Macaca mulatta: one gene and its partners. The protein of the gene in region 3 purifies or fractionates together with the protein of the main gene of each other region. This does not show direct contact. Links are inferred from orthologs where the notes say so. Each region holds a gene or a part of one and is shown on either strand. Other genes may lie near its edges.

Evidence for each region.
Region 1: the proteins of FOS (region 3) and STK40 purify together in Homo sapiens (affinity purification with mass spectrometry; 3 studies listed by BioGRID and IntAct, counting the BioPlex papers as one, with this or other methods). This does not show direct contact. The link is inferred for Macaca mulatta from reciprocal best matches to the Homo sapiens genes FOS and STK40.
Region 2: the proteins of FOS (region 3) and COP1 purify together in Homo sapiens (affinity purification with mass spectrometry; 4 studies listed by BioGRID and IntAct, counting the BioPlex papers as one, with this or other methods). This does not show direct contact. The link is inferred for Macaca mulatta from reciprocal best matches to the Homo sapiens genes FOS and COP1.

Annotation. Positions count from the first base shown.
Region 1 is NC_133406.1:204,444,911-204,448,555, reverse strand, and holds part of STK40 (serine/threonine-protein kinase 40), read right to left. Parts: intron 1,974-3,645; coding exon 1,858-1,973; intron 1-1,857. UniProt on the Homo sapiens protein: May be a negative regulator of NF-kappa-B and p53-mediated gene transcription.
Region 2 is NC_133406.1:33,619,853-33,623,497, reverse strand, and holds part of COP1 (E3 ubiquitin-protein ligase COP1), read left to right. Parts: intron 1-1,422; coding exon 1,423-1,499; intron 1,500-2,313; coding exon 2,314-2,433; intron 2,434-3,645. UniProt on the Homo sapiens protein: E3 ubiquitin-protein ligase that mediates ubiquitination and subsequent proteasomal degradation of target proteins.
Region 3 is NC_133412.1:148,475,610-148,479,956, forward strand, and holds FOS (protein c-Fos), read left to right. Parts: upstream 1-1,526; coding exon 1,527-1,667; intron 1,668-2,421; coding exon 2,422-2,673; intron 2,674-3,109; coding exon 3,110-3,217; intron 3,218-3,334; coding exon 3,335-3,976; downstream 3,977-4,347. UniProt on the Homo sapiens protein: Nuclear phosphoprotein which forms a tight but non-covalently linked complex with the JUN/AP-1 transcription factor. In the heterodimer, FOS and JUN/AP-1 basic regions each seems to interact with symmetrical DNA half sites.

The DNA of each region.
Region 1 (3,645 bases), on a different chromosome or scaffold from region 3:
CCCAACCAGGGCCAGCCCCCGGCCCGAGCCCTGCAAACAGCCACAGCCCCACTCACAGGCTGGGTAGAGGGAGGAGCCTGGCTCTATCTCCTATAGGGATGCTTTGGGGATTACTGTGGAGGGTATCAGGCTGTGCTGGGCCATGGGGGTGGTGCCCAGGGAGTTAGGGTATACCCCTGGCACCCAGATCCCTCTAGCAGAGGCTGTGGTGACTCCAACCAAACCCCCAGGTCTGGGGAAAGGTGCTACTGGCTTTGCACATGGGCAGCCCTGGGGACAGGCCTGGCTCTCCAGCAGAAGCAGCAGTTGGGGGAGCCTCCGAGGGAGTTGTAAGTGCTTGTATTACAGCAGCCTGCTCACCAGGACGTGTGTGAAGACCTGGGATGAGGCTGGCTCTGCCACTGCACAGAAAGGGCGCACTCACGTGTGGGGTGGGGATGAAGGATCCTGTAGACAACCCCAAGTTCTCCATGTTGGAGGGATGGGAGCTGGTGTAAGCCCCGGTTCCCTAAAGGATTTGGGCCAAGGACAAGGGGGAAAGGGAAAGCAACAGAGTCTATGGTGAAAGAGTTGGGAGCATGGGCTTTAGTGGGAGGCAGCCCTGGGGCTCTGCCTCCATTTTCCAGTTTCCTATTTATTAGCTATGACTTTGGATAAGAGATGTCATCTCTAAGCCTCAATTTCCTCATCTGTGAGAAAAGGACTTAAGATATTGACCTCACAGGATAGCTGTGTGGTTTAAACAGATAATGTGAGTCACGCTCAGCACTGTGTCTGGAACTTGGAAATCAGATCAGTGGGCAGTAACTTTGGGAGTTTTTTAAATTTTTTGAGATGAGAGTCTCGCTCTGTTGCCCAGGCTGGAGTGCAGTGGTGCAATCTCAGCTCACTGCAAGCTCTGCCTCCCGGGTTCAAGCGATTCTCCTGCCTTGGCCTCCTAAGTAGCTTGGATTACAGGCAACTGCCACCACGCCCAGCTAATTTCTGTATTTTTAGTAGAGACAGGGTTTTACCATATCGGCCAGGCTTGTCTCGAACTCCTGACCTTGTGATCCACCCGCCACAGCCTCCCAAAGTGTTGGGATTACAGGCATGAGCCACTGCGCCCGGCCCGTGAGTTATTTATTTGTTTTGTGTATTATCTGTCTCAACCCCACTAGAAAGTCAGCTCCATGAAGGCAGCGATGTTTGTCTACTTTGTTCACTGTGGTCTCCAAAGTGTCTAGAACAGAGCTTTGGGCCTGGGTGGCCCTCAGCAAATAGTAACAGAATGAGTGAACAAAGACAGGGAGTGAGGGCTCTGAAACGCAAACTCACAGTGGCACGCGCAGTTGAGAACTGTTCAATGGCTTCCACTCGCACTTGAAGGGATGACGTCTCTTAACGAGGCCTACGCCAGACCTTGCCTGATCTGGCCCCCGCGCACCTCTCTGGATTCCCCTTGAACCAGGCTCACTTCTGAGCAGCTTGAAATTGCTCCAATGTGCCGTGCTGCCTCTGGGACCCTCCGCCTCAGCCCAGTCACACACACCCAGGGAATTCCTAGTTCCCCTTAAGATCATAGCTCAACTGTCACCTTGTGGGGAAAGTCCTCCAAGCACCCTTCATCCACGCTCACAGCAATCCCGTTCCTCCCTAGCACTAATCTCAGAGGAATTAAACATGCATTCGTGTTATCGTTACGTCTTCCACCTCCAACAGACCAAACATTTTGTATGGGGAGCGACAGTACTGGTCTGGGCCCCCAGTGAAGCGCCAGCACCTTGCCCAGGGCCTGCCCACAGATTTGCTGAGTGGATTGTCACAGAGCCTGGCTGTACTGAGCTTGGAGGCCCACTGCCTGGCACACACACATACCACTGAGCACGTCAGGACTGATGTAGGCAGGGCTGCCCCTCTGGTCCTTCAGAAGGTCCCCCTCGCTCACCAGATGCTTCCCGAGGCAGAAGTTGGTGATGGTTATCCGATGTGTCCTAGGAATGGGAGACAGAGAGTGAACAAACCTCAGTGTCTATAGCAACGGGCACAAGACACATAGGCAGGGCACACCTCACTGGGCCAGTCCCTGATCCTGAACAGCAGGAGGTGGGCTTCTCGCCAGAGGGCGAAACAGCTGCCCCAACCCCCTCTCCAGGGAGCAGAGGAATCAGGCCCCAGACTTTTCTGGCCACCAGCCGAGCTGTCCCAGCAGGGATTGGCTTCTCTCCCAGGTCCTGAGTGTTGCACAGGCCATCCCCGGACCTACTGCCCTGGATGAATCTCGGGGTATAAAATAGGGCTTAGAACAACTTTCAGAGATTTCCCAAAAACAGCCTCGTGTCATATTCTAGACTGGGAGTGACCAGAGATTTAGTTCAATTTTCTCATTCACACATGAGGAAAAGGAAGGCCGGCAGAGATGAGTGACTCCACCTTGGGAGGTGACCCCAGGGTGGCCCCAGCTGCCCCCACACCACGGAGTCTGTCAGGTCACTGTCTCACTTGGCCCCACAACCACTGCAGAGGAAGAAACTGACAGTGGCCAGTGAGGGGGATTTTCTCACCGTCCGGTTTCAGATGATACAACAAAGGCACAGGGAAGTGAAAGGACTTGGCCAAGGTCATGCAGCTGGTGAGCAGAACAGCAGGATCCAAGCCCAGGTCTGCGAGGTCCCAGAGCTGCGCACACAACTGACAGCTTCCTCATGCCCAGATGTGTCCCTGGGCAGGGCCCCAGGCCCTGAATGACTTTTCCTTCTGTTCCATCAAAACTGACTCATCCCTTACCTTGTACTTGTGATTCTGCCCTGGCTAGATCACAGACTCTCCCTCTGAAAGGCATGGGGCAGAGCAGCTTTGGGCTCTGATCCTTTGGAGAAAACTCACATGTGGACAAAAGGAAGTGCCCTGAGAGGACCTTGCACCACACCGTAGGCTGGGAGAGGGGGCAGGCCCTGTCTAAGAGGCCTGGGAAAGGCTTCCTGGCCCACGGGGGCAGGCAACGAGGAAGGGTGCCTCTCTGCCCGACTGCCCTGCTGCTGTGTCGGCTGGCTGGGTGGAAAAGCTAGGGGGAAAAGCTGGGAGGACAGGAGGAAGGAAAGCTCCATGGGGGCCTTGGGCTGCCTCTCACTACCATCAACTCTCAGAGCTCTCAGAGGCACAGCGCATGCGTGGCTGCCGGTGGATTTCCCCAGGAGCTGCGTCCAGGAGGTTCTGAGAGCCCTCAGCAATCTTGGGGAATTCTGCTGGCAAAGGCCTTGATGCAAAACAAAGGCCAGTCTGTCCTCTGGATTCCTCATGGAAACGCTGACTCCAGCGCCTACACAGGCCTGCCCTGTCAGCTGCCATAGGAATCTGACTGGTGACCCACGGGCGGCTAGAGCCTGAGTGCACAGGTGAAGGGTCACTGTGCAGGGTCACGTGCACGTCAAGGAGTGGACTGCTCTAGCTCTGAAGCTCCAGTGCCGCTGCCCTGAATATAGGACTGCTCAGGCCTCTTGTCCAGAAGGTTCCCACAGAGCAGAGGCACTCCTGGTCAGAGATGGCTGCGGAAGCTGCAAATGTATCCTGTGGGTCTCTGAGGCTCAAGACGCTGGGAGGAGGACAGCTCAGGAGACAGTACGGTGGGTTTGGGAGTCAGGTTCCTAGTCCTGGCTCTGCCACATC
Region 2 (3,645 bases), on a different chromosome or scaffold from region 3:
TTCTTCACTCCTATTTTTGCTTAGTGAGTCTCTGTGTGCCTATTATGGCCCATTTCTAATGTTGCCTTCTATATGAAGTGTGCTTGTTAACATTTTGATTGATCTCTGTGTGTATACTTTGTAAATCTATTTTAATGATAGTACTGATTATCACATTATAAGTACTGTATCATATGAATCTGTCTTGCTTGTCTGAATTGCTTGAGGCCTTGTATTGTATCTTTGAAGCTTGGATCCTTATGAACTTGGTATCTGTTTGGTGTTTTCAAAAATATTTATACTTGCATTGTGGTATAGTGGGAAGTATCAGACAGTTGGGTCTATATTCTCAGTACTACTTCATTGTATATGTCACCATGCATAAGTTCCTTAATGCTCTCTGTGCTAATATTCATCTCTAATTGGGGAGAATAATCTGTAAGATATTGTCTATAAAGTGCCTACCTAGCCTAGTACTAGTTTCCCTTTAAAAAAAAAAAAATCAGTTTTTTGTGTCAGTTTATATTTGTTGGTTGTAGAAAAATTGAAAAATCCAATTTAAAGTGGTTAAACATTATGGAAAATGTATCGATTCACAGGAAAAGAATTTCTAGAGCTAGTTATCAGTGGTTCAGTGGTATTATCAGGTTCTTTCTGTTGTTCTGTTCTTCCATTGCCAGCGTATACCTTAGTCTTTTGGCTGGCTATTCTTGAGATTACAAGATGGCTCTGAGCAGTTTCAGATACCCCTTATGAAGGCATGGTTTTTTCTCCTATCCTTTTCTTTCTGAAAGATAGCACATCTCTCTTTGGTCAAAATTGGGTTACATACTTAACCCCACGTCAACCACTGGCAAGGGCATGAATGACTAGATTGCCTTAGGTTAGTCAAAGTAATACATGGGGTTGGGGTGAGATCTAACTTCTCTGAAAGTTATATGGCAGTCTGATACTTGGAAAAAAAGTCATGTTATTATCAAGAAAAAGAGTAGGATGGTCTTTGGATAGGTAACTAAAAGTGTCTTCCATGGCATTTTTAGAAAAATTACAAAGAGAAAGAACAAATGCAAGTCTTTAGTGCCTAGCTCATAGGAGATACTTAGTTACTCATGCCTTGTTACCATATGGGGCATGTGATGGTCTCATATGGTGAATGAGGATTTCTCTCTCAGGTGCCAGTAGCGTCATCATTGAGAAACTTGTAAGGGAAAATTCATATTCTGAAGAATTCTCCTATAGTAATAGTAGTTGTAGTAGTAGCAGCTGCAGCACAACTGTTTTCTAATTTGAAATAAAATAAAAAGCTAACACTTTCTGTTTAGCATGTTTTTAATTTGGAGGCTGTGTATAGGTAAAATAGAATCTATCTAAACTGAAGAATTACACAATACATTTAACAAAAATACAAATTATTTGTGCTTTTTATTTTGTTTCTGTTTTCAGTGAATGAACTCATTCTTAAACAAAAGCAAAGATTTGAGGAAAAGAGGTTCAAATTGGACCACTCAGTGAGTAGCACCGTATGTTTCAACTCTTATTACTATTTTTAATACATTTCATTTTGTTGTTTTTATTGGTTTAATATTAGTTAGACGTTAAAGTTTAATATATTATTGATTTTTCTTAACGGAGATTGTTAGGATTGTTCTAGTCAAATAACTTTCTTAACTGCATTATCTGTAATACTTTGCTAGAGTGCTCCTATTTTGAAAGGTCTGGTAGGATTATATTGAAACATTTGTCTTTTAATACTTGACATTTGAAGGATTGTATTGCGTGGTGAAACAATGGTTAGATATTTTCAAAAAAACTGTCGAGGCTGGGCTTATACCTGTAATCCTAACACTTTGGGAGGCCAAGGCTGAAGGATCACTTAAGCCCAAGAATTTGAGACTAGCTTGGGCAACATAGTGAGAGTCTGTCTATATTCAAAGAAAAACAAAAACAAACCTTTGAAAGATTCTCAATTTTAAAGGCTTAGTCCCAAATTTCCAAGGCAAATGAGCTTAATACCTTACTACATGCAAAATTGAAAATATGGCTAGACAAATAATTAAATTCAGTTATTTTGAAGGTAAATTACAGCTTTAGAATATTCTCGAATGCACCTTTTATATTTGTTATCTTAATTCATTTAAGGGAGAAGAAATAGTGTTTAAGTTATAACTAGAAGACAGTAGGGAGCCGCTAGCTAGGAAGGAGTAGTTTGGAACATTGCAGTGTGTTTTTGGTGTCTATGTAATGAGCATATTAGGAAGTAGCAAGTAAACATTTGTTTTAGTCTCTAAAACAGTCTTCTTAGGAAGTTGTTGTTTCTTCTTTCTTCATTTTTAGAATGGCCACAGGTGGCAGATATTTCAAGATTTGTTGGGAACTGACCAAGATAACCTTGATTTGGCCAATGTCAATCTTATGTTGGAGTTACTAGTGCAGAAGAAGAAACAACTGGAAGCAGTAAGTGGTAGCTAACCTTAAAAAATATTTTAAATGGTGAACTTTATTGCAATGAAAAAGATCTAAAAAATGATAGGATAGCTTCACTAATCCACTCATTTTTACTCAGCTAGAAACAGCTACAAAGTGTCACTTCTGCTAGATTCCCCCTTTTAGTAACTTAAAGAACAATTTCCATACATTATAACTTATTTGCAATGACCAGTTTTTATTAACAAAAGCTGAGTGTTAAAAATCTTCAGAAAGAAAAGTTTCATTTTCATAGGAAATAGTTTTGTTGGTCATTTGTCTTCTAATGAGTATCTTTCTTGCCATATCATCCCCTATTCATATGTGAGAGTTGGAGGAGAAATAGAGATTATTTTTATCTACATAAAATTCTTTCAGCAGGTGTCCATTGGTAGCAACAGTAGTGTATGGCATAACTAAGAGCATTTAAAGAGATCTGTACTAAATATATCTTATTTAATGTAATGTAAAATTCCATTTATTTTATGTAAATGTTAAAGATGTAAAATGTGAAATTGCAAGTGTTGGGAATTGAGTGTGATATAAGCAACACACACCTTAGCATAAGCAAATACTACCCTGAGGCTAAACATAAAGGGAGTATTTATTGACACAGTAAAGGAGTGAATAACACATACACACAAAAAGGAATAGTTGAACAACCAAACTTTGAGAAGATTAGAACCATGGCTTCTCTGGAATGCTACAAGTACATGAGATTAAGGATTTGAATGTTGTTGAGAGTCTTTCTTTTGTGCCCCTTGTGACTATTTGATTGGGACAGCTCTGATTTTCTTTTCTTACAGACTTCTTTATCACATGGTGGATAATAATGTCATTTGCACTCTTGGTTTATATGCATGTTTTTTGATAAAAGAAAAAAAAGGAGCTTTTGTTTCCAACTGCAGTTAAAAAATTTTTGTGGCTAGATTATGATTAACTTAGCTTGGATCTGGATCCCACTCACTGTGGTGGGGATCTGCTAGTAGGAGAAAGGTGTGTCAGGTTGAGCCAGCCAGGATGAGTTGTCTCCCATGTTGTATCTGTTTGGGAGGTGGGGTTCATGGGAATTTCTCTTACGGTTTTAACCGTAGTTTTCTATTAGCATCTGCTATGTGCCAGGGGTTGTGTTAAGGGCTGTGGACAAGCTAAAGTTCTGCTGTGTGCGTGTGTTTGTGAACTAAATCGTAAAGCACGTATTTT
Region 3 (4,347 bases):
CACCCTGGAGGTGGCCGGCGCGCTGGGGCTGAGCCCGGGCAGCGTGACCCCGGCTGTCCTACGCAGCAGGGCAGGAGGCTGGGGGGCGTGGCACACTCTGGAGCACCTTGCCTCCCCAAAGCCCGGTGTTCCAGGACGTGGAGCCGCGCCTGGGGTCCCAGCGGTGGAGGTATTCCGCCTGGGCGCTGCTGGACACTGTCCTTCCAGCCCCTGTCCTCCCCTCTCCAAGTCCGCGCTGGAAAATCACCCGCTGCGGGCTCCCGTAAGCACAGCTTCCTGGCGGGACCGAACCAGCCCCCCAGTTCAGATTTTAGTTCCCCGCAGGAAGCACACCCCGCCTTGTCATCCCGAACTGACCACCCTGCCCACATAACCACACCCCGCACTCCCTACCCCCGGGGCCCAGCTCAGAACCGGGCAGACACCCCCTTCAAATGTCTTCGCACGTAGGTGTCGCACAGTGTTTATCTGCTGGTGTCTCAGGGATTTGACAGTTTCCTTAATATTCCCACACATGGCCGAGAAAAATAAATAAATAAATGCGCTGTCTTCCTTAAAGAAAAAATAAGTAAATAAATAAAGTACCCAGTATCGTAAAGTAGGTTATCGTATTCTGTTATTTTGGATCCACTTTCTGCTTCCAAACGCAGGAACAGTGCTAGCATTGCTCGAGCCCGGGAGGAGAGGGGTGAGGGTCTGCTTCCTCGTTTTGCACTGAATTAGGGCTAGAATTGGGGATGGGGGTAGGGACGCATTCCTTCGGGAGCCGAGGCTTAAGTCCTCGGGGCCGTGTACCCGAGGCCGTTTCTCCTATTCTTGAGCCTCAGAACTGTCTTCAGTTTCCGTACAAGGGTAAAGAGGCGCTCTCTGCCCCATCCCCCCCGACCTCGGGAACAAGGGTCCGCATTGAACCAGGTGCGAATGTTCTCTAGCATTCTGCGCCGTTCCCGCCTCCCCTCCCCCGGCCGCGGCCCCCGCCTCCCCCCGCGCTGCACCCTCGTTGTTGGCTGCAGCCCGCGAGCAGTTCCCGTCAATCCCTCCCCCTTACACAGGATGTCCATATTAGGACATCTGCGTCAGCAGGTTTCCACGGCCTTTCCCTGTAGCCCTGGGGGGAGCCATCCCCGAAGCCCCTCATCTTGAGGGTCCCACGAGACCCCTGAGACAGGAACTGCGAAATGCTCACGAGATTAGGACACGCGCCAAGGCACAGGCAGGGAGCTGCGAGCGCTGGGGAGGCAGCCACGCGGCGGCAGAGGCGCTCAGGCCCGCGCGCCACCCCTCTGGCGCCACCGTGGTTGAGCCCGTGACGTTTACACTCATTCATAAAACGCTTGTTATAAAAGCAGTGGCTGCGGCGCCTCGTACTCCAACCGCATCTGCAGCAAGCAGCCGAGAAGCCGAGACTGAGCCGGCGGCCGCGGCGCAGCGAACGAGCAGTGACCGCGCTCTTACCTAGCTCTGCTCCACAGCGCCCACCTGTCTCCGCCCCTCGGCCCCACGCCCGGCTTTGCCTAACAGCCACGATGATGTTCTCGGGCTTCAACGCAGACTACGAGGCGTCATCCTCGCGCTGCAGCAGCGCGTCCCCGGCCGGGGATAGCCTCTCCTACTACCACTCACCCGCCGATTCCTTCTCCAGCATGGGCTCGCCTGTCAACGCGCAGGTAAGGCTGGCTTCCCACCGCCGCGGGGCCGGGGGCTTGGGGTCGCTGAGGAGGAGACACCGGGCGGGACGCTCCAGGAGATGAGTAGGGGGCTCCCTTGTGCCTGGAGGGAGGCTGCAGTGGCCGGAGCGGTGCCGGCTCGGGGGCTCGGGACTTGGCTCTGAGCGCACGCAAGCTTGCCATAGTAAGAATTTGTTCCCCCTTCCGGAGGCAGGTTCGTTCTGAGCAACGTCTGGTTTGCATTCCAGGACGGATCTCTGACATTAGCTGGGGCAGACGTCTCCCAAGCACAGACCCGCTAACTAGAGCCTGGCTTCTCTGGGGAGGTGGCAGAAAGCGGCAATCCCCCCTCCCCCGGCAGCCTGGAGCAGGGAGGAGGGGTGAGGGAGGAGGGTGCAGCGGGCGGGTGTGTAAGGCAGTTTCATTGATAAAAAGCGAGTTCATTCTGGAGACTCCGGAGCGGCGCCTGCGTCAGCGCAGACGTCAGGGATATTTATAACAAACCCCCTTTCAAGCGAGTGATGCTGAAGGGATAACGGGAACGCAGCGGCAGGATGGAAGAGACAGACACTGCGCTGCGGAATGCCTGGGAGGAAAAGGGGGAGACCTTTCATCCAGGATGAGGGACATTTAAGATGAAACGTCCGTGGCAGGATCGTTTCTCTTCGCTACTGCATGCGGCACCGGCAACTCGCCCCACCTGTGTCCGGAATCTGCTCGCTCACGTCGGCTTTCCCCTTCTGTTTTGTTCTAGGACTTCTGCACGGACCTGGCCGTCTCCAGTGCCAACTTCATTCCCACGGTCACTGCCATCTCTACCAGTCCGGACCTGCAGTGGCTTGTGCAGCCGGCCCTCGTCTCCTCTGTGGCCCCATCGCAGACCAGAGCCCCTCACCCCTTCGGAGTCCCCACTCCCTCCGCTGGGGCTTACTCCAGGGCTGGCATTGTGAAGACCATGACAGGAAGCCGAGCGCAGAGCACTGGCAGGAGGGGTAAGGTGGAACAGGTGAGGAACTCTAGCCTACCCTTCCTGGGAAGGTGGGGGCTGGGTGGGAAGCGGCCCTGGAGGTGGAGGAGCACAGCAGAGAGGATTAAGCCCCTGACGGGGCTGGCTGCACATCCCTAACTGGGAACCCTGGCTCCAAGCCCATTCCATCCCAACTCAGACTCTGAGTCTCACCCTAAGAAGTACTCTCATAGTTTCTTCCCTAAGTTTCCTACCGCATGCTTTTAGACTGGGCTCTTCTTTGTTCTCTTGCTGAGGATCTTATTTTAAATGCAAGTCACACCTAGTCTGCAACTGCAGGTTAGAAATGGTTTCACAGTGGGATGCCAGGAAGTAGGGAAGCTGCAGGAGCCAGTTCTACTGGGGTGGGTGAATGGAGGTGATGGCAGACACTTTTACTGAATGTCGGTCTTTTTTTTTTTTGTGATTATCCTAGTTATCTCCAGAAGAAGAAGAGAAAAGGAGAATCCGAAGGGAAAGGAATAAGATGGCTGCAGCCAAATGCCGCAACCGGAGGAGGGAGCTGACTGATACACTCCAAGCGGTAGGTAGACTTTGCGGGTTGCTCCTTTTTAAAACTTAAGGGGAAAGTTGGAGATTGAGCATAAGGGCCCTTGAGTAAGACTGTTTCTTATGCTTTCCTTTCTCCCTCTGTATACAGGAGACAGACCAACTAGAAGATGAGAAGTCTGCTTTGCAGACCGAGATTGCCAACCTGCTGAAGGAGAAGGAAAAACTAGAATTCATCCTGGCAGCTCACCGACCTGCCTGCAAGATCCCTGATGACCTGGGCTTTCCAGAAGAGATGTCTGTGGCTTCCCTTGATCTGACTGGGGGCCTGCCAGAGGCTGCCACCCCAGAGTCTGAGGAGGCCTTCACCCTGCCTCTCCTCAATGACCCAGAGCCCAAGCCCTCAGTGGAGCCTGTCAAGAGCATCAGCAGCATGGAGCTGAAGGCTGAGCCCTTTGATGACTTCCTGTTCCCAGCATCATCCAGGCCCAGCGGCTCTGAGACAGCCCGCTCTGTACCAGACATGGACCTATCTGGGTCCTTCTATGCAGCAGACTGGGAGCCCCTGCACAGTGGCTCCCTGGGGATGGGGCCCATGGCCACAGAGCTGGAGCCCCTGTGCACTCCGGTGGTCACCTGTACTCCCAGCTGCACTGCTTACACGTCTTCCTTCGTCTTCACCTACCCCGAGGCTGACTCCTTCCCCAGCTGCGCAGCTGCCCACCGCAAGGGCAGCAGCAGCAATGAGCCCTCCTCTGACTCGCTCAGCTCACCCACGCTGCTGGCCCTGTGAGCGGGCAGGGAAGGGAGGCAGCCGGCACCCACAAGTGCCACTGCCCGAGCTGGTGCATTACAGAGAGGAGAAACACGTCTTCCCTAGAGGGTTCCTGTAGACCTAGGGAGGACCTTATCTGTGCGTGAAACACACCAGGCTGTGGGCCTCAAGGACTTGAAAGCATCCATGTGTGGACTCAAGTCCTTACCTCTTCCGGAGATGTAGCAAAACGCATGGAGTGTGTATTGTTCCCAGTGACACTTCAGAGAGCTGGTAGTTAGTAGCATGTTGAGCCAGGCCTGGGTCTGTGTCTCTTTTCTCTTTCTCCTTAGTCTTCTCATAGCATTAACTAATCTATTGGGTTCATTATTGGAATTAACCTGGTGCTG